5 linked regions of the Oryzias latipes genome follow. The protein of the gene in region 1 interacts with the protein of each later gene in a pairwise test. Links are inferred from orthologs where the notes say so. Each region holds a gene or a part of one and is shown in the gene's direction. Other genes may lie near its edges.

What was found.
Region 2: the proteins of clns1a (region 1) and snrpg interact in binary tests that used the Homo sapiens proteins (3 or more experiments, as listed by UniProt). The two-hybrid records come from large-scale screens. The link is inferred for Oryzias latipes from reciprocal best matches to the Homo sapiens genes CLNS1A and SNRPG.
Region 3: the proteins of clns1a (region 1) and snrpd2 interact in binary tests that used the Homo sapiens proteins (3 or more experiments, as listed by UniProt). The link is inferred for Oryzias latipes from reciprocal best matches to the Homo sapiens genes CLNS1A and SNRPD2.
Region 4: the proteins of clns1a (region 1) and lsm3 interact in binary tests that used the Homo sapiens proteins (3 or more experiments, as listed by UniProt). The link is inferred for Oryzias latipes from reciprocal best matches to the Homo sapiens genes CLNS1A and LSM3.
Region 5: the proteins of clns1a (region 1) and lsm2 interact in binary tests that used the Homo sapiens proteins (3 or more experiments, as listed by UniProt). The link is inferred for Oryzias latipes from reciprocal best matches to the Homo sapiens genes CLNS1A and LSM2.

What each region holds. Positions count from the first base shown.
Region 1 is NC_019871.2:4,487,762-4,491,960, forward strand, and holds the start of clns1a (methylosome subunit pICln), read left to right. Parts: upstream 1-1,398; 5' UTR 1,399-1,666; coding exon 1,667-1,785; intron 1,786-2,611; coding exon 2,612-2,748; intron 2,749-2,898; coding exon 2,899-3,027; intron 3,028-3,173; coding exon 3,174-3,284; intron 3,285-4,199. Other genes in the region: solute carrier family 35 member F2, read left to right, coding at 80-379. UniProt on the Homo sapiens protein: Involved in both the assembly of spliceosomal snRNPs and the methylation of Sm proteins.
Region 2 is NC_019865.2:4,866,762-4,870,392, reverse strand, and holds snrpg (small nuclear ribonucleoprotein G), read left to right. Parts: upstream 1-1,164; 5' UTR 1,165-1,278; coding exon 1,279-1,310; intron 1,311-1,453; coding exon 1,454-1,476; intron 1,477-1,630; coding exon 1,631-1,755; intron 1,756-2,966; coding exon 2,967-3,017; 3' UTR 3,018-3,125; downstream 3,126-3,631. UniProt on the Homo sapiens protein: Plays a role in pre-mRNA splicing as a core component of the spliceosomal U1, U2, U4 and U5 small nuclear ribonucleoproteins (snRNPs), the building blocks of the spliceosome.
Region 3 is NC_019871.2:25,537,844-25,541,923, reverse strand, and holds the start of snrpd2 (small nuclear ribonucleoprotein Sm D2), read left to right. Parts: upstream 1-1,273; 5' UTR 1,274-1,402; coding exon 1,403-1,404; intron 1,405-2,748; coding exon 2,749-2,928; intron 2,929-4,080. UniProt on the Homo sapiens protein: Plays a role in pre-mRNA splicing as a core component of the spliceosomal U1, U2, U4 and U5 small nuclear ribonucleoproteins (snRNPs), the building blocks of the spliceosome.
Region 4 is NC_019863.2:18,333,740-18,337,729, forward strand, and holds the start of lsm3 (U6 snRNA-associated Sm-like protein LSm3), read left to right. Parts: upstream 1-1,180; 5' UTR 1,181-1,263; coding exon 1,264-1,284; intron 1,285-3,990. UniProt on the Homo sapiens protein: Plays a role in pre-mRNA splicing as component of the U4/U6-U5 tri-snRNP complex that is involved in spliceosome assembly, and as component of the precatalytic spliceosome (spliceosome B complex).
Region 5 is NC_019862.2:27,136,505-27,140,801, forward strand, and holds the start of lsm2 (U6 snRNA-associated Sm-like protein LSm2), read left to right. Parts: upstream 1-1,489; 5' UTR 1,490-1,607; coding exon 1,608-1,610; intron 1,611-1,795; coding exon 1,796-1,863; intron 1,864-2,982; coding exon 2,983-3,013; intron 3,014-3,099; coding exon 3,100-3,159; intron 3,160-4,061; coding exon 4,062-4,187; 3' UTR 4,188-4,297. UniProt on the Homo sapiens protein: Plays a role in pre-mRNA splicing as component of the U4/U6-U5 tri-snRNP complex that is involved in spliceosome assembly, and as component of the precatalytic spliceosome (spliceosome B complex).

The sequences.
Region 1 (4,199 bases):
CTTTGCACATCTTTTACTTTATGGTCTTCTCTGTGTCAATCATTCATACGTTCTATTATAACCTTCTGTCCCTCCGCAGTTCTCCGGACTCTACCTGGTCTCCCTGGTGGTCATCCTGATCGGCTTCATCACCTTCAATGCCGTCCCAACTGTTACTAGGTCTGCAGAGCCCACCACCTCTTCCTCCTCCTCCTCTTCCTCCATTGGCGAGGACGCTTGCTTCGACAATCCCGTCACTCAGGAGGACGTCTCCAAAGAAGTGTCTGTTCGGATCCCAGCTGAGGTGGAACTGAGGGGGGAACAAAAGAGGAAGAGGAGGGCTGCAGAAGAACACGATCGTGAAGATGCCGTTGGAGTCAGAAGCAGCACTAAAATGTGAAGAGCAGCACGAGTGTCCATGAAAAATTCAAGAATTATGGAGTTTTTCTTAGCTTTTTGAGGCTGATCTGTTTTATTCTTCTTTTTGTCAGAGGCATGAAATGTTCTTGATTTTGACCAATAAATATTCCTCTTCATGTGTGAACATCATCGTCCGTCTTTCAGATAGCTTCTGACAGGTGAGAACCGGTCATGATTCCTCTCTGTCTCTGTGGGTCAAACTCACCGATGACCCTTCATTGTGCTCAAATATGAACACCTGGAACATTTTCAAATCTCATTTGTCAGCCGTGTCACACTGAGTCACATGATGTCTGTTGAGTTTTATTTGCTAAAAAGTTGCTGATGTGACTTGTAGAGTCTTAGAAATGTTTAGACTGTGTAAAGTAAACCAATTAGAAAGAATACATTAAAGATAATTTACAAAATTTGAGTTTTTTTTTTTAAATCTGAGTTGATAAATTGGTAAGTGTGTGAGACCCCCCACCCTGTTTATCTCATCATCATCTTTTGAAATGCTAAAAAAAAGGGTACCTTAGAAATCTAAGGAATCCCAGGCTTTAAACTGGGATTTGGCTCTTTAGGTGAACCGAAGGCCACAAAAGGTTTTCTCTCAGAAAAAACGTGACTTCTTTGAATGATTAGTGACAGAGGATAGTTTTTCACATTTTGATGCAATCTTTTTATTCAACCCATGGAATAAAAGCTGAAAGTCTGCACTTCAATGACATCTGAGTTGTTTTATTTAAAATTCACCGTGGTAATGTACAGAAACAAAATTAGAAATAATATCTCTCTGTCCAAATATTTATGGTCCTGACTGTGTATATATACGTATATATATTTATATAGTCAAAAGGTTGTGCTTGTGTTTTTTAAATAAGAAAATATTTCTTTTTGGGGGGGGGGCGTCACTGTTTAAAAAAATTAAAAATAAAAAAGTTCGGAATGGGTGTAATCAGCTAAACAGCCACTAGAGGGCAGTGTAAAAAATATGCCACAGATGGCTTGAGGAGGCACGCTGGTCACGTGATTCGTTGACGTAAGGAAGAAACCGCGATATTTCAGTATCAACAAGCGCTCGCTGTCTGGCTGTTTCGGATTTTACGTTTTCTGTTGTAATTTCCCCCCCCAGAATTCCCTTGTCGTGACTCGAGTTTTGTCCTGAAACGAGGCTTACTGCGGTTAAACTAAGCCGCTCTGTTACCGGAAGTGGGTCACGGCTCTTCCTTTTGGGTTCCAAAGCAGTTCTGTTCTGTTCGGGCCCACGTTAACGGTCTAACGGACGATGGTTCTGGTGAGAAACCTCCGTCCTCCTACCGAGGGAGTGCGCCACGAGGAAGCCAACACCACTGCGGTGCTGAGCGGGCAGCAGCTCGGCTGTGGCACGTTGTACGTCGCCGAAACGTAAGTGATCCACGTGGCGCGCGTGTTTTGGTCGTTACACGTTGGAGGCAAATCTTTATGCACATTTCATTCACCCCGAAATGTATCCATCATAATATGTTCGATGATAAACTGCAGCTTGTTAGCACTAGTTCAGACCCCAGGAAGAGCTTCCGGTATTGCCCTGCTTTTCAAAATAAAACGTTAAATCGAAGTCATGTTTACGTGACAGTTCCGTGGTTCATTTTCTGCTGTCAAAGTATTGAATTAAAATAGGTTTATTGATTTATCCCCATTGATTTGTTTGTCTTTAACTTTAGTCTCAACTGATCACAAGACCTTTAAAGAGTAACTTTCCGTTTTTTCATATTAATTTTGTATTTTAAAGGTTAACACTGGATGGACTCTATACATGAAGTGTAAATACTATGTTTAACTAAATCTTTTCATTTTAATAACTTTGAATAAAAAATAATAGATTAGATTTGTCCCTGTAGTTAATTCCTGTGATTATTGTTATTTCTTTTTTTAGTGAAATTAAATTTAACTTGATTATTTGCTCAGGAAATCTTAATAAGATGTACTTTGAGGTTCAACATAACTCCTCTGATCATTCATTATTGTTTGGTAGTGCATTTTTAAATGAATATATTTTATTTCTCAGGTTAATGGATAAATAATTCAATAGAAAGGAGTCAGTGAGTCAAAATGCAGCCTATAATAAAGATCTTTATGGTTACGTGGCGCTGCAACACTTTCAGCTAACTCGACGTCAGACTTGATTCTCTTTTTCTGGTTTTTAATGTTGGAATCGGCCTCCTCTGATCTGTGTCTTTGTCCGTCTCAGGCGCCTGTCGTGGTTCGACGGCTCAGGGATGGGCTTCTCCCTGGAATACCCCTCCATCAGTCTGCACGCCATCTCCAGGGATGTCAGCGCCTACCCCGAGGAGCATCTCTACGTCATGGTCAACGGAAAACTAGGCGGTAAGAAAACCTTCAGTCATCTCTAAGCTTATTTGATTGCTTGAAATAAACCATTTCAAATCAAATCAAATCTCCTGAAAGCAGATCTGGGTTTTCTGCTTTGGTTTTTCTTCATTCATTCAACAATTTCATCCGTTCGTTTTCTTGTAGGTGAGGGTGAAGCTGAGATGACAGAGAAAGCAGCAGAAGAAGAAGATGATGATGGTAGTGACAGCAGCAACGGTGACGAAGAGGAAGTGATCACAGAAATTCGATTTGTTCCCAGAGACAAAGCTTCATGTGAGTGAGCGGTAACGGCCACCCGATCCGTGACGGCTAACCGATCAAGATCGCGTAGCCGTCACGGATCGGCCCCCCCCCCCTGATCCCGCCCGTCTGCCATAAAAAGTAGAAGATTAGAAATGTTTGCGTCTGTTTCCACGCAGTGGAGTCCATGTTCTCAGCCATGTGCGAGTGCCAGGCGTTACATCCAGACCCCGACGACGAAGACTCAGACAACGACTTCGAAGGAGAGGAGTACAATGTGGAGGAAGCTGGTAAGGACAACAGACGCACACAGCCGGGGAAACTTTATTTAAAATGTTTTTCTTATTTTATTCCCATCATTTTTGCAGAAATGCAAGGATTTTCTCACATATATAAAATAATCAGATTTTTTTGGATCAATATTAACTTTCAGGTGATTGATTGATGCTGAAACTGATGGTCAGTGAAACGCTGAAGATGACTAAAAGAAACTCAAATATTAACCCTAATTCTTTATAGTTCATACTGTGGCTGTAATGGCCTGGAAATTAAATCTCTGCTGTTTTTTTCACACTAAATATGATTTCAGATTTACATTGATTTTTTTTCTTTCCCCTCTCTTTACTTTCTTTAAAAAAAAAAAAGACAAATGACAGAATATAGCTAGCAGAAATGCTTTTATTTTGACATTTCCTTTGGGAGTGGACCTCAATTCAAGTTGCAACTGAATACAGACTGTAAGGCTTCTGAAACGTTGTGTTTTTGAGCTGCTGCTGCTTGATCGTCTCACAGAAAGCAGCACCGTTTGACTCTGGCTCAGCTGCTGAAACCAGTTTGTGCTTTAGGGAGCTGCTAACGCATTCTGCAAATTGTTGCTTCAAGTCTGAAGTTGAAAATCCAAACCCCTTCCATGTTTTTTGGGAACGAGCCCCTCTTCTTTTTGCTTGCTGGCATTTTACCGTGCGAGAGACGGGCGGGCTAACACAACAGAGCAGGATGCTGGACGGAAAAAATCCAGATTGTCCCGAAAGTAAATCTTTCTAAAGACCCATTCAGATGAAAACGGTGTTTTTAACATGTTCATGTAGCATTTTTTCCTCATGCTGGAGGACAAATATTAAGAAAATAAGGCTTTAAATTTCATTTTTCATTTAAAAAAAAGCTCATAACTGCACTCTGCAACCCCCCTGCTCCTTTCTGCTGCA
Region 2 (3,631 bases), on another chromosome or scaffold:
TACTCATCAAAGTGCGATGCCTTCTGCTTTCTGTTTGTTAATAAAGTTGTTACAATTTGAATCAACGCCTGGCAGATTCAAAAGCTATTTTCCCATCAAAACTTAAACTTCCTGGAGAGGGAAAGCACTGATTAACATCATCATTTATGTCTTTAATACACTGAATGTGTTTTGTCAAATTGTGCTGTTTTCTTCCAAATAATCAGCAAATATATAATTATTAATTCTTACATTTTATTTTTTGTCAGGACAGCTTTCCATGAGCACATCACCATGGTAACTTGCTAACAACATCCTACTGAGGATGAATGAAGCTGTTTTTCTTTTTTCTTTAAAATTGCTTGTAAAAGTAAAAATCATAGTTTATCAAATTTATCATAGTTTCAAAATGTTCCCATAACCTCTTAAAGTTAAGGTAGCTCAGGTCATGTTAGTGAGGAAATATGAAGTAATGGATGCTAACATCCTCTTGAATGGCTGGCTGTTCTCTTTGGTAGATTTTGGGTTGAATCTCAGCCATTTGTTTTTTTAGTGAGTGCGAATTTATGAGATTTCCATTTTTCTGAGGGTCTAGCATGAATTCCTATAAACCTTTGCTTCATAAAAAACGTTTTTGATGTCTTTATTGATAGCAGGAAACGTGGATTGTATCTCCTTTCTATGCAAACAAAAGCAGCCGCCTCAAAGTTTTGTTTCTCTAAAGTTATTTTCAGCGGCTCTTTTCAGTGTCACTGTGATGATTTAAAGTTTGAAAAATGTTTTGGGAATTTTTCACAATCTTCCTTTGTAAAGGAAAAAGTAAAACAAACTGTCGCATTTTTTAAATGTATGTTTGATTTTATTTTTGCTTTTGATCATTACAGCTCAGATGTTCAACCAAAAAAAAATAAAACTAATCAGCTGTGCTTTTGCACAAATAAAAATCTATTAATACAATGAGTTTTTTAAGGTTTTCTATATATATATATATATATATATATATATATATATATATATATATATATATATATATATATATATATATATATATATATATAAAATATATCACACACTTCATGTGCATGTATTTTTATAGTTGTTTTGGTCATTTTCTAACTGCAAATAGTATTATTTGCCTTTGGCTGATCCCTTTTTAAACCAGATTACTCCTCCCAGCCGCACGAGGGCGCAGCACAGCAAAGGTCACAGGGTTTTACTTCCGGTCTCCCGGTCCACACGCGTTTCCTACGCGGTTTTGTGAATTGAAACACGACTTTGTTTCGTTAAAATACAGACACCATGAGCAAAGCGCATCCACCAGAGCTAAAGAAGTAAGTTTGCAAGTTTTTGAAAGATGATAGGCCTGATAGCTTCGGTCTTTTTCGCGAGATTGTAGTATGTTTCCATGTTAGCCACCGTTAGCCGGAACAGCTAGGAATTGAAGCTAAATCTAAATAATGTTTTTGTCTTTCAGATTCATGGACAAAAAGCTTTCCCGTGAGTTAAAACTCTCGTTTCATTATTTAATACATATTTCAAAATTACACTATATTTCTATTCATTCGCCGGCTTTTTCTTGTGAAATTAAATTCGCTTTTAGCTAAGCTAGCAGCCTTCATGTTCATCAGTTTGCTCTTTTTGTTTTCTTCAGTGAAGCTGAATGGAGGCAGACACGTCCAGGGCATCCTGCGAGGGTTCGACCCCTTCATGAACCTGGTGATGGACGACTGTCTGGAGATGGGCCCCGGGGGACAGCAGAACACCATCGGGATGGTGGTCAGTGTCCGAGCAGAACTGTGAAGCATGAGGGAATAGTTTAATTCAATGTTTTACCCCACCCGTAATAGCAGGACGAATAGGTTCAATTAAAGATCATACTCTTTATTTATTTTTATCTTTATTAGCAATTCCATCTTTTGACAATTTGAACCAATTTGAGTGCTGTCTACATAGATTTATAAAAACATGCACAACTGTTTTCCTAACAAACCAGACAATCCTATAAAGAAATATGAACCAATAAAATATGTTAGGGGTCTGCTAGTTAGTAACAAAAATGTAAATGTTCTAAAAATCATCTTTTTGATAAAGAAAATTTTCTACCTCACAAATACACTTTTTTTGTTTTAATTACTTTTTTTTTAACTCCTTTTAATTCACTACATTTTGAATAAAGAAATACGCAGAAAAGCAATTTTAAGCATATTTTTTTTAAATATATGTCCTCATCAGAAAAATGCCACAAGAACATGTCAAAGTAAATAAATTAAAGCAATCCCAGTTGGTCATTTAGTGGTTTTGATCATTTCCGGCAACTAATTTTTAATTTTTTCTACAAAAACAAATTTTGTTTCGAAGTTTATTCAAAATTCTTTAGTCAAAGAACCTATTCTATCCACTTTCTCTTGTAAATATAACATTATATTGATAAGACAGACTTCCTCGTTTGTTTTCCAGGCATCTGTATTCTAGTTGCTACTGGTTTTCTAGATCGGGAAGCTGCAGATTCTGCTTGATGAAATCCACCTGATCCACGTGACTAGCTGCAAATAAAGCAGGGTTACTGGAAAACATTTCCACATTTTTATGTGTAGCCAAAAGTTCATTACTACTTAAAATAAATACATCCAGACCAACAGGGGAGCCTCAATGCCTACTGAAAATCTCTCTTAAATATATTATACTGCCCCCCCCCCCCCCCCCCCCCCCCCCCAATACTCCAGCTTTTCCAAAGATGTCTAATTAGTTTATCTGAAACAAAACTGACCTGTCTTTACGGAAGAACAAATAACAATTGCCTGTTCCAGTGAATATCTGTGAAACCAAACGTTGGCAGGTTCGTGGTTTTTCCTGATGTGACAGCCTCAGGAAAGGGTTTAGTAGTTTTTCCCAAACTAGAACATTTCTCTTATTCAACACACAATTGTGTAAAAATAAATGTGTAAACGTGAAAAGATCTGATCTGTTTTCCTTTTGTCTTCCCGAAGGTCATCCGAGGAAACAGCATCATCATGTTGGAGGCTTTGGAGCGAGTATGAGCAGAGCACAGCGGCGCCTCCTGTTTTCTCATTCCATTGTAGTTCATTCACAATGAAAGTCTGTTGGTTTTGAGATGTTTGTTTGTTAATAAACTATTTTTCTTTTTATCCGTGCATTTGTTTGGTTTTACGAAATGTTACTGTATGTGTTCTTTCCTGTAGATGCAGCAAGAATTTAGTGTTTTTGTAATGGAGGATGAGCTGCTAAACAAAAAAAGAATATCTTAAATGTTAGGGTTAGTCTTATCTTAAGGAATTCGAAAGCTTTTTTTATAGCTTAGCTGTTAAAAAGCTATAATGGCTAAACAATGTTGGGAATGCTGGTGATGAAGACATAAATGCTGAACTATTTTAATAATTTGATAGACCTAAAGTCAGCTGAATATTTAAGATATGCGTAATTTCCATTCATGAGCTGGCAAACTTGTTATAAACTAGCAGGCAAGTATTTGTTCATAAAATATTAAAAAGTTGGATTCAGTTTGTTTATTCTTGAGCTCTATCAAGTTTAAAAGTTTCCACGTTGAAAGGAAAAAAATTTAAGGTATTTTAAAATTAAAAACATTAGCTGCTTGACACTAAAACAAAGGGTTACCAATTTTTCTAAAGTTTAA
Region 3 (4,080 bases), about 21 Mb from region 1:
TTTGTGTTTGGAATTGGTTTCCTTATTTCATAAGTCACAAGATCTCCTTTGGATGTTGGCCAAAAAGGAATTGTGGATTTTACCATCTGAAAGAAGTGCTACAACATTTTTGTCAACGGCTCAGACTCTTTAAGACATCTCTTCAAAACAAAACTTATATTAGACTAACATTAGATAAATACACCTGCTGTAGATCTCATAGAACTCAGTTGTGAGAGTTTCTAAATGACACTATAATGCATCTTATAACTTTTTATAATTGTATTATAAATGGTAAATGGCGTATAATTGTACTGCGCTTTCTACCTTCCTTGAAGGCCAAAATCAGTCACCTATTCATACACAGATTCACATACTGGTTTCCTGGTTGCTGAACACTGGCACCAACCTTCCACCAGAAGCAAGGTGGTGTTCAGTTCAGCGTCTTTCCCAAGGACACTTCAACGGTAGGGCGGGTATCGAACCTGCAATCTAACGATCAGAGGGTGACCACCCTACCACGGCTGCCCATGTATGCAAGACATGACAGCAATAAACCTGGAGCCTAAAACTTTTACTATTAAAGTTTTTTTGTATTGTTTGATTTGCAAAATGCAGTTACAAAAGGCCATGTTTATAGTTTCTTGATATTGAATTATATTTTTCAAATAAATGAGTTTAAAAATACTGCTAAAAATACAAATGAACAATGCTGCATCATTTGTTTAGCACCTACAATAATAGATAAGGCAATCTGTGATTTGGAACGTGGCACATATGAAAAAAAGGAAAGGTTATTATTATTATTATTGTTTTTGTTGTTATTAATATTATTACTATTATTGTTGTTGTTGTTATTTCCAATATTTTAATTGTTGTTGTTGTTAATAATGTTGTTGTTGTTTACCAGGCAAAGGTCACAGACTAAGCAACGTCTCTTTTATTTTATATTATTTCTTGATACTGTCAACCTGGACTTTGATATCCTGCAAATGCAAAATAACTGGATAAAAGCAATGCTGAATTTAAATGTATCAAATTGTATTTAATTAATCTTTTTCGTGTATTTATTTAAACATGTTCTATAATGTCGTTTGTTAAATTGCTGCATGAATGCTGGGGCATTCATAACAGTTTTAACTTCGGCTTCAGTAACGAAATTACTAGAGATGGATGCAAGATTAGAATAGAATATTTTAGCTGATGACCGTTGTTTGATTTTTTTTCTATTGTTGCCAAAAAGAATAGAATATTTTTCGAATTTTTGGTTTGCGTCGTAACCCGGAAGTTATTCTATTTAAGCGCGTTAATATCACCGGAAGTGATTCTGTGCACGCGACTGTCGGCTAAAACGTTGTAGACACGACCGACGCACGAAAGAGGCTTTGGAACTTTACTAAACGGTTTTTATAAACCAGGAATCATGTTAGTATCTTCTATTGTGTCTCGATGTTGAGGGCAATGTTACTTTTTACGTTTAGCTGCTAATATGGAGATCGCACTATTAAGCTAGCAGCATTTTCCTTCGAGTTGGTGCTAGATCGCTTTGTGTGGCCTAGTGGGTGGTTTTTAGAAATGTGTTAAATTGGATTACATTGCAATTACTGCATTCTCAAATTAAATTGTTTAAAAAGTTACGTCCAAAGCTAAATTCTGTGATTGTACATCGCGCGAAAGCTTGATGGACGTACTAAGCCTCATTAGCTAATTGCTAATGAGACTGTTAGCTTGCTCTATCCATCATGAGTAAATGTCCTCGTTGTGCGATTGCAGCATTCATTCTTTAGAAAGTAGAAATGTTTAAGCTTCTGCAAGATGATATGATCAAAGTCGTCGGTTATAGACTCATTTTGTGTGAAAGCCAAAGTTTTGTTCTAAATATTTTGTGCGTAAAGAGCCTAAACTCTTTGCTGATCTCAAAGCACACACTGTTCAGAGATTGTTGAAAACTTCAAATGTATCTGGAAACAATAAATGTTCTGTGCTCATTTAAGGGTGGCGGGAGGCTTTAATGTTTTAAAACTTGATCCTTTTATAAAGTCTAGTATTTGTTGACCTTTATTTAGGTAAATTGTTTCTCTATCATCCAGAGCAGCCATTTTTTTTAAAGTAGGTTTTACTTCTGCCTATTTGTAGTGATCATTGTACAAATATAAAGAAATATCGAGACTAAAATGTACTGATTCAATTTATCAATGACCAAAGCATTTATTGTGTGTGTGAGATAATTCCTCAATAGTTTTGATTCCGTCTGATGTAATGTCTCCTGTACAATGGTTTTCTGGTTAATACTAGTTTTGCATGTTTAGTTTTATTTAGATATTTGGTTGTGGTCCATTTTCCTGCTTAAGCACCTTCTGCCTCTCAAATGTCTCTATTAACTGAGCACTTTCAGTCAACAGCTTCAGCTCTCATAAATGCTCTTTTGCAGGAACTGAGACTTTTTTTAGCTGGTTCCACTTTTCAGATGTCTTGCCTATATTGTACATTTTTGTGCTAACTTGACTTTATAAGAAAATGATCATTTTGTTGAGGCACACAGATGAAGCCAACTCTTGGATTCGCATTAACAGTAACTAATGCTTGTGTGTGCATTAAATACGAAAGTGTTGCGTTTGTGTCTTTATATTTATTTTTTAATTTAAAAGAATAATAATAAAAAGGCCCAAATCCAAATAATAGGCCGCCCAAGCAGTCGATGCTTAAACAGTACATCGTTGCTTATTTTGTTTGCTGTTATCACTAATTCAGAACTTGTTTAATCCACAGGAGTCTTCTAACGAAACCTAAGTCAGAGATGACGCCTGAAGAGCTCCAGAAAAGAGAAGAGGAGGAGTTCAACACTGGCCCTCTGTCGGTGCTCACCCAGTCAGTCAAGAACAACACCCAAGTCCTCATTAACTGTCGCAACAACAAGAAGCTGCTTGGAAGAGTCAAAGCATTCGACAGGTATTGGGGGGCTGCTGGTGTAGCGGAGAGAGGTTTAAGTGTGTATTTAGGACTTTTATATGAAGAGGAAACAAACACGAAGAGCTTGCATCTTGATTTAGAAAGTGTTGCTTCACTAAAGCATATTTTTGCAGTCTTTTTTTCTTCTTCTTTCCAGGATTTGAAATAACATGGCGCCTTACAGTGGTTTTATTCTAAAATGTTTCAATTATTCCCTCCTCTCTTTGACATATTCCTTTAATAGAATCAAGAATAAAATACATTCAGAAGAATTCAAATACAAGTAAAACACTAAATATAAGCTCACAAATGTAAGAGATTAAAAAGGCGTCCATAGCATCTCCTCCACATTGGGTACTGTGCCTGATGTGGGTGTGGGGTTTGAATGATTTCATTCTCTGAAGCATTGTTTTGTTTTTTTATCAAGTATGAGTTGAATAAAAAGCCACTTCTTAAATACTAAACCTGTTTTAAGGGTTAGATGTCAACAGCAAGATTTCTATATGTAGTCACTTGTGTAATAAAATCAAATTTTCTTACAAAGCTTAAGCAATGAAGAAGGGAGATTGCAAGATGTTTTATTTCAATAGTTCTTGCATTGTAATTTTCTGATCTTTTTGGTTTTTAAAAGAATAGATTACGTATGTGAGCAAATCCACCTGAGCACCCCAAGATTTCAAATGCCAGTGAGTTATTAGTATGAAGGTAAAAATGTGTCTAAATAGACGAGCTTGTAGATTTGGTGTGAGAACTTGTAATTTACAATGTGAGAACTTGCACACCAAAAATCTGCATCTGTGTGTAAAAATCTTCTGCTGTAAAGTCTGACAAACTAAATCAGAACTGACAAATTCCCATTTAGAGTTACAACCTCCAATCTGGGATTACAACTGCTCAAATGTGAATCTGCTGGCGCACATCACAAGTGCACAACAACTGCGCTCTGACTTCTGACACATTCCTTGTGAGAAACTTGTGTCAAAATTGATCTGTGTACGAAAACGGAACGGGGGGGACAATAGGGTCATGATTAGTCAGTACAGAAAGTTTGCTGACATTAGCTTTAGTATCTTTAGAACTATTGAGCACCTTTATTATGAATCATGTCTCTTAAAATGTGAAAAACTATATAAAATATATTAAACATGGAAT
Region 4 (3,990 bases), on another chromosome or scaffold:
AGAGGAGGCGCACACCTGTAACCCTACAAACACAACGCGGAGAATAGCAGCCTCACAGGACCAGAGGCTGTGTATGACATCACAAACAGAACGTCTGCAACCCATTTAGTTACATTAACCAGTCTAAACTAGTGATGTTCAATAAATATAGTTTTTTCCCCAAAATAAAATAATGACGCAATAAATCACAACCGCTGCATCATTTTATCTTTACTTAAATAGCATTTTGCTTTTTATTTTCCAACACTTGGTTGGTATCCTGTATACAAGAAATTGTTATTTTTAATAAAAAAAATAATAATTGAAAAGCAATTTATTTCGTTTTTCTGCTTTTTAAGTCCACCTATTATAATTTTAGACTGTTATTAAAACGATTTCTTATCTTTAAATGCAAGACTTTGAAAAGAGTAATCAATGAACATAAAATAGCCTTTTTTGGTCTGTTAGTTTCAATTAATAAATCGATTAATTATTTAGTGTAATCATTAAAAATAAATATTTGAATAAACTGCAGATTACATTTTAGGAATATATTCTCTCTTAAAAGAATTTTAACGGTTTTCTCACTAACGGAAAGCTTCATTATGTGTAACTATTTACATTTCATTTCTCGTTTACATTAACATTTCGCATACGGAATATTTCTAAACAGACCCGTTAGACACTGAATTCCCAATAACAGCTTTACTACCACTCAAAACGCTCTGGAATATTAGTGTAGACAGGACAAATACCTCAAAATGAACAGATATTTATGAATTAATTTACCTTCTCGCTGCTCTGCGCGGATGACACGACAGTGTCCTGTGAGGACAGAAAGCTCTGGAAAACGCTAAAGGACGGTACTGGATAACGTTGCCAGGTTTGAACATACACGCAACGCGTCGAGAGAAAGGTGAATTTCTTTTCTTTATAGTTTAGTCTTTTCAGTTGTTTCAATTTAAAAGTGGCAGGGATGCAACAAGGAGATGTTTGTGTTGTATTTAAATTTTAGGTAAGGACTATGTATGGATTTACACATACTTTAAATTTAGTCTTTTAAGGATGGATGTTGATACCATAAGTTTTAATAATAAACATTTCACATTCTCAAAGTACGCATAGATATATATTGTAAACTAATTATTTGTATAAAATTCAACTTTGTTGAACTGGAAATCGAGGGATAATTCGAAACGCACGTGTGTGTTGCCGTTTGAAATCTTAATTTCACCGGACCTGGCAACCTGCGTACCGGAATCGACGCGCGCATGCTCGAACAGTATGGCGGACGAAGCTGAGCAGGTTAGCGGTTCTTTCGCTAATTATATGTTTAACCTTACAACGAACGAACAGAAGCCCACTTTGCTTCTAAAAGTGCAGACTGCGCTGCACGCTGCATTATTTTTAAAGTGCTTTAAGGTTATTACAGGAACGTTTTTGACCTGTTTGGGGCCGTGGAAGCGGCTAACCGAGTTAGCCGAATTATTAGCCTTGGTGTTCCTGTGTTTCAATTGAACGCAAATGTTTGGTTTGAAACACAGTTCATTGCTTTAGTGCTAACCAGGCAGCTAAATAGTTTATACAGGAAGGAAAGTTTGTGTAAAATGTGTGGGGAAAACAACAGCTGTAGCTCCAGCCGTCGAGGGCATGCATTCTGCTGTGTTCATTAAACGGCCTTCTTCTGATTCTGGTTACCTCAGGTGTGTTTTGCTAATCAACAGCAGGCAGACTAGGACACCTGCCCTCGAGGACTGAAACTTTACATTTGAGGTTTCTACTCTCTGAAACGCTTGGCGTTTCTGGCTGCCGGCCGCTCTGGGAGGGGGGGGGGCGCCTACCGCGGCCGGCTGGGGGGCCGGTCGCTCGGGGGAGCCTTCTCCCCCGGTTGTGCCCATCCGCCCGCTCCTCCCCGCTCTCACCCAAACAAATATTGCACACAGGCACATAGGGCCCCGGGATCTGGATGGGAGGGGTATGCTGGCGGGGCTCACTGGGGATGCCCCTCTCTGGGTTCTCGTTGGCACCCGCCCTCCTCCCCGCTTTTTACTTGCATATTAGACACTCTGATTCATCTAGGGCCTTGTGGAGAGGGTCTGGTGGAGGGGGGCACGGTGAAACATCCGTGCTCACCTTTCGCTGGCCCCCCCACAATTTTAACTTCCTCTGTAGACACACACACTGCATGCTAGCAGCACACACACAGCAAATACACACCACTCACAGAGGGACTCCGGAGTGGGGGGCTTTGCGGCTTGGCAGCGGTGGAGCCCCCCACACTGGTGACCTCCTATTTTACCTGCAGCACACACACAGCACTCCCACACCTCCATACATGGGTGGGGTCGGGGGGGGGGGGCGGCCGGTCTTCACCCGCCTGGTCCTCTCAGGGCGGCCAGGCTTATGGGTGTCCTGTCGGCTGCGGGAGGGGTCGGGCATGCGGCGCTGGGGGTTGGCCGGCTGGGGGGGGGGGGGGGGGGGGGGGGTTACTGCTTGGCGGCGGGGGTAGGGAGGGTAACCAGATGATTGTGAGTATGTGTGTGTGAGTGCATGGGTAGGACCGACCTGGGGGCTGGCTCGCTGGGACCCTCTGGGGCTTTCCCTCCCAATCACAGAGAGGGGAGGGCACTGAGAGGGTTGGGGAGGGGGGGTCAGATATTATGGCGGGGGGGGGGTTGTAGTGCGTCGGGTTTTAGGGGGGTGGCTGTGGCTGCGGGTGCGTGGCGATCCCTGGGTTGCTAGGGTCGCGTGCCTGGGCTGGCTTGCGGGGACGGGGCGCTGGTCGGGTGGTGGCCGGCTCATGGGTTCCGGGGCCCTGGCTTCGTCCCTGGCCTTTGTCTCGGTGTCCGGCGCCCGGTGGCCCCCATGGCTGCCGCCTGGTACGGCTAAGCGCTCCTGTCTTGTGGCCTGGGGGCCGGACACTGGGTTCGCTTGTGCCTCTGGGCATTGGGGGGGCCCCTGTAGGGGGGCCCTCTCTGTGCCTGGCTGGTGGGGTGGGCGGTCCCCTCCTCCTCCCCTCCCGGGCTGCCTGGGTCCGGATGCTGGGGGGGCTTCTGGCCTGGGGGGCTCTCCTCCCCTCTCCTGGTCTGGCTGGTCTGGCTGGGTAGGATCTGGCTCCCTTTATGAACACACGGTTCACGTCGGCAGCATGCATGTATCTCCACCCCCACGTGCACGTGCACACTGCCACACTGCTCCCTGTCTGCTTCATCCCTCCTCCTTACCTACAGTGTATTGATGGACAGTTTTTTTTCCGCTCATCTTAGTGTCAGATTTTGACCTTTGATGTAACATTCGTCTTTCCAGCAGATCTGGTATAATTGTTACAGCTTAAATTAATAACTTAGTCAAATCAGTGCTTGTATCCCCCACCTTTTCACCTTTCTTCCTTTTACTCTCTTCCACCCTCCCCTCACATTCTTCCCCTCTCCCTCCCCACACACACTAAATGTAACAAATAAATAAAAAATAATACGACAAAAAGGGGTTTATACAAATCTACACTCTAGTTTCTTGAAGCTATATAACCTCTTTTTGTGATAGTAAAACCTGTCCAACACAAAAAGCCTTCAGCTCTAATCTGTTTGCTCAGAAGTTGGACAGAACAAGTTAGAAAAAAAAAAAAAAAAAAAAAAGATTAGTAAGCAAACTGACTTTCATTCTAATCACAAGGTTTAGAATTTTTAGTCACCAAAATGTTTTTTTTTTGTCTTTTATTTTTATTTTTAATGCTATACTCTTAATTTAACAGTTCAAACACATTCACACAGGTTACCCAAACGCCAATACATGTAATCTGCCTTCACTTGTTTTGCTGAAACCCATGAGATTAGTAATGCTTTTATATTAAACATATATAAATGTCACAAAACAGTCGTTTTTGGTGTCTTAAATGTAGGTTGGATGTTTCAACATTTTATTTTGATTGCTGAATTAAAAACTGTGAATCACAAGTTGATTTCTGTGTTGTCAAATTGTGTTGAGATGGGAAAAAAAGTAGTATTTTCATTC
Region 5 (4,297 bases), on another chromosome or scaffold:
TTTCCTGCATGTTCAGCCGCCAAATTTGAGGTGGTTTACAGAAGAGAAAGTAAGAATAATAATAACTATATTTTTTTGTGATTCCGATGTGTTTCCTGTGTGTGCTCGGATGATATTAACAGTTTCGTTGTGACTTCAAGGGTCAAGTGACAACATTTATTCATTCTGTAAAGTCTTTTTAGAATAGGGTTAGTTTTACATGATAGTCTATAGAGAAACTCTGTTTTTGCTTTTAATGATCCACTTATCTACCTATCCATCCTCAGAACCCACTGAATCCTTTAACTGAGCAACTGTTGAGTAAAGTTAGTGGACCACTACGTCACTGTGCAGCCCTATATTTGATGAAAATGAATTAAGTTAACAGTTGCAGAAAGACTCACTCTATCAAGTATGTATCTTGTAATAAAAGAATTTCCAAAACATAGGAAAATTCATAAAAGGAGTAAATGGTCCAGAGTTATCTCACCTGTTTGTTTTTTATCCTGAACTAGAGTCCACTGAGACACCGTCCACTCCACAGTTTAAGCACATTTAGTGGAATTTACCCGTGTCAACAACAGAAGACCCAGGAGCAACGTCTTAACTTTCTCAAAAACAAAACAAAAGAACTTTTGAATTAATAATTATTTTAAAGATAAAACTGTGTACATTCAGTTGTGATTCGTTGCTATAGAGTTTTCTGTTTCAGATCAAGTTCGTAAACCATGATGAGTAAAGAAGCTGAAAAGATTTGTTAAAACATCTGAGTGCTCGACACTGCCCCCGTGTGGTCTTTCATCAGAATACAGAAAGAACTCTTGAAACAAAACGGTCACAATTGTGTTCATTTTCTGATTTTTATTGCATCAAACTGTAGATAAAATCAGAAAGACATTGGAGAAGAAACAGAATAAAACTCCAAATGGCACTGGAGACCAAAGGTTCTTTAAATTAGAAGACGTAAACAATAAATATATCCAGTTTTCATACAGAAAACTTTCAGCATTAAAGCATGAAAAGCATGCTTTCCTTTGACCAGTATAGAAAAACACAATTTCTTTACAAAGATTAATATCGTTATTAATATAGTTTAGGTTCTATGTTTTTATTACGACCCTACGTTTTTTTTTTGTTTTTTTTTGGTGGCCCTAAAACTCCGTCGTAATTTATAAAAGAACATTGAGGAACAAACTTAATCCTGATTAAAAACTCTTGCAGCAAATTATAGACATTTCAGGTTTGTGTTTGTGTGTGTTTTTAAATCACAGTAAAGGTCTGCATACTACAAAAAAATAAAGTTTTGAGGTACAAAAAGTATCACAAACATGTCTGGTAGCTAGACTAGAAGCTAGACTAAATCTGAATTAGACTTTTGATATTTTATTCAATTTTTTAAGAGATGGCTCATAATGTTTTTTATGTCTTTTTTTTTTAAAGAAATATGAGTGAAAGCCTAAATTTAAATCTCGGTCAATGAAAAACACCTGATAGTTCCTTAATAAACATTGAACGACAGTGTGTCTCCCTCTAGTGGCGCAAAGTGGTACTCACTCACCGCTGAAACACGGCGCAGGCTGATACGTCATCAACAGCAGCCAAACCTTCTGTAGAACACCACAGCCAAAATGGTAAGGCGTAAATCGTCATTTTAAAATGTACTTTTTTAGTTTAAGTCAAACATTTTAGGTTTCTGAGTGTCAGAATTCTTCTGAATTTCTTTTGTTTTGTCGCTGAGTTTGCTCGCAGTGTGCTGAGCCGCTTTGTCGGCCCATCATCGTGCTAACATCGTCTTTTTTTTAAAAAAAATCTACAGCTTTTCTACTCGTTTTTCAAGTCTTTGGTTGGGAAGGACGTGGTGGTGGAGCTGAAAAACGACCTCAGGTTGGTTTTGATAACTCAACATACCAATTTGTTTGGTAATGTTTCTTTTCAAAGCGCCGTTTGTGGTTAAAAATGGCGCGTGGTTCTGCTAGCGCTGTTTGAATGGGTGCAGTGAAGAGCTACTTAGCATTGACAGAGACATTGACTCTGTCAGAGTTGCTGTCTTTCCTTCTAGCTGGTGTTTTGCATCTCATGCTGGTCACAGTGGCGTGGGGTTGCCATCCCTTCCTTCCAGCATTTGTTGCAAATCTGGCTCAATAGGTTGGTGCCAGCAGCGTGAAAAATGTACTTTTTTTCCTGTTAGTTTTCTGAGCTAACTCTTGGTCTGCAAACGTGCTGCAAATTCATTTTAGACCTTTTTCCCGAAGAAGTAGGGTCAATTGCGGGGGTGGGGGTGGGGGGTCAATCAAACTAGCTGCATCTCATGATGAAAGCTCAAAAGTAAATATTAAAATTAGCTTACAGTTAGTTGTTGGGCATTCTTTAAAGACGTAACTCATAATTCTTAGCTCCTCTCACAGATGGACGATACTTAGACATGTGGTACTTTTTTTAAAAACCCATCCAAATGAAAAAAGTGGTTTTGATGCCATAAGCTCCCTGCTCTGCTCCATTCTGATGCATCCACTTGCAGGCAAATAGATTTGTCCGTCTTTGTTTTCCTGGTCTGAGCTGGCACAAATAACTGTACGGCTGGATTGCTCCAATATTACTTTTTTTTTCTTTTTTGTTGCACACCTAATGTTGGGTTAAGGGGGGGGGGTTGTAAGTTAGCAAAGGATGATGGGAAGATGGGGCAGGCTTGCTCTGCACCAACGATCTCAGACAAATTTCTAGTGAACAACTGCTGCTCTGCAGAAACTGTCCTAGAAAACGACGCAGGTTTTTTTTTTATTTTTGGCTAAAAACAGCACATTTAAAGACCACTAGGAGCGCTTTAAAAAGATAAGAGTGGGATATAAGAAAAAACAGACTTTCCTGCAGCATTGACAATAGAAATAAATTTACTGAACAAAAACTTTGACTTGTTCAATACAAATTTGCATATTCCCAGAAAGTCATTTAACATCAAAAGTTCACTGTTGCATTGAAAGCTTCATTTTCTCTTTTTCCCCCCAGTATCTGTGGGACGCTTCATTCTGTTGATCAGGTTAGAAAATAATTAATTCTTTACTTTTTTTAATTAATCAATGTATTGGTTTGCAATTTAAAAATGTTGTTCTTGTCATCATCTAGTACCTGAACATCAAGTTGACCGACATCAGTGTGACAGACCCAGAGAAGTATCCACACATGGCAAGTCCTCATCTATGGTTTACTTTTTAGTCTAAAGTTTGCATAGAGGCCTCTAAAACATACAGTTGTTTTTATTCTTTTATTTCCTTCTGTCAGTATAACAAACATTTTTAAAGTTGTCTGCTGGGTGAGAAATGTAGAAGCACACCTTTGGAAGTTCAGTTTCAGTGTAGGGCAGAGCAGACAGCAGTTCTTCAGGTAAACAGCAAAGATTTAGAAACATTTTTCAGAGTTTCTAAACTACAATTTTTCAGAAAAACATTTAAAAATATGCAGAAGTTCTACACTCACTGCCCACTTTATTAGGCGCACCTTGCTAGTACTGGGTTGGACCCCATTTTGCCTTCAGAACTGCCTTAATCCTTGGTGGCAGAGATTCAACAAAGTTCTGGAAACATTTCTCAGAGAGTTTGGTCCATATTGACATGACAGCATCACACGGTTGCTGCAGATTTGTCGGCTGCACATCCATGATGCCAATCTCCCGTTCCACCACATCCCAAAGGTGATCTATTGGGTTGAGATCTGGTGACTGTGGAGACCATCGAGTCCAGAGAACTCATTATTAATAGATGATTTCAGCTTTGCTGCGTTCAAAATCACTTAAATCACCTTTTTTCCTCATTCTGATGCTCGGGTTGAACAGCAGCAGATCATCTTGACCATGTCTAAATGCATTGATTTGCTGTCATGTGATTGGCTGGTTGGAAATTTGTGATAACGAGCAGATGGACAGGTGTGCCTAATAAAGTGGCAGGTGAGTGTAAATGTGGTTATTTGACCCGTGAGAGTGGTGGGAAAAAGAGAAGTGTTAGCTTCTGAATCCCCTTGGATGTGTTCATTCTCTTCCTCTGGAAGGCGCCCTGCCTGACTCCGTGTCTCACGTGTTTCACGCTCTCCAGCTGTCTGTGAAAAACTGTTTCATCCGCGGCTCGGTGGTCCGGTACGTTCAGCTGCCGGCAGACGAGGTGGACACTCAGCTGCTTCAGGACGCCGCTCGGAAGGAAGCCATGCAGCAGAAGCAGTGACCGGGGCTGCGGGTTCGGGGAGGGGGGCTTTAAGTCATGGGTTCTTTATAGTTCAGTTTGAAGAAGACCGCTGTGAACCGCCTCCACACACTGCGCCGGTCGATGGAGAA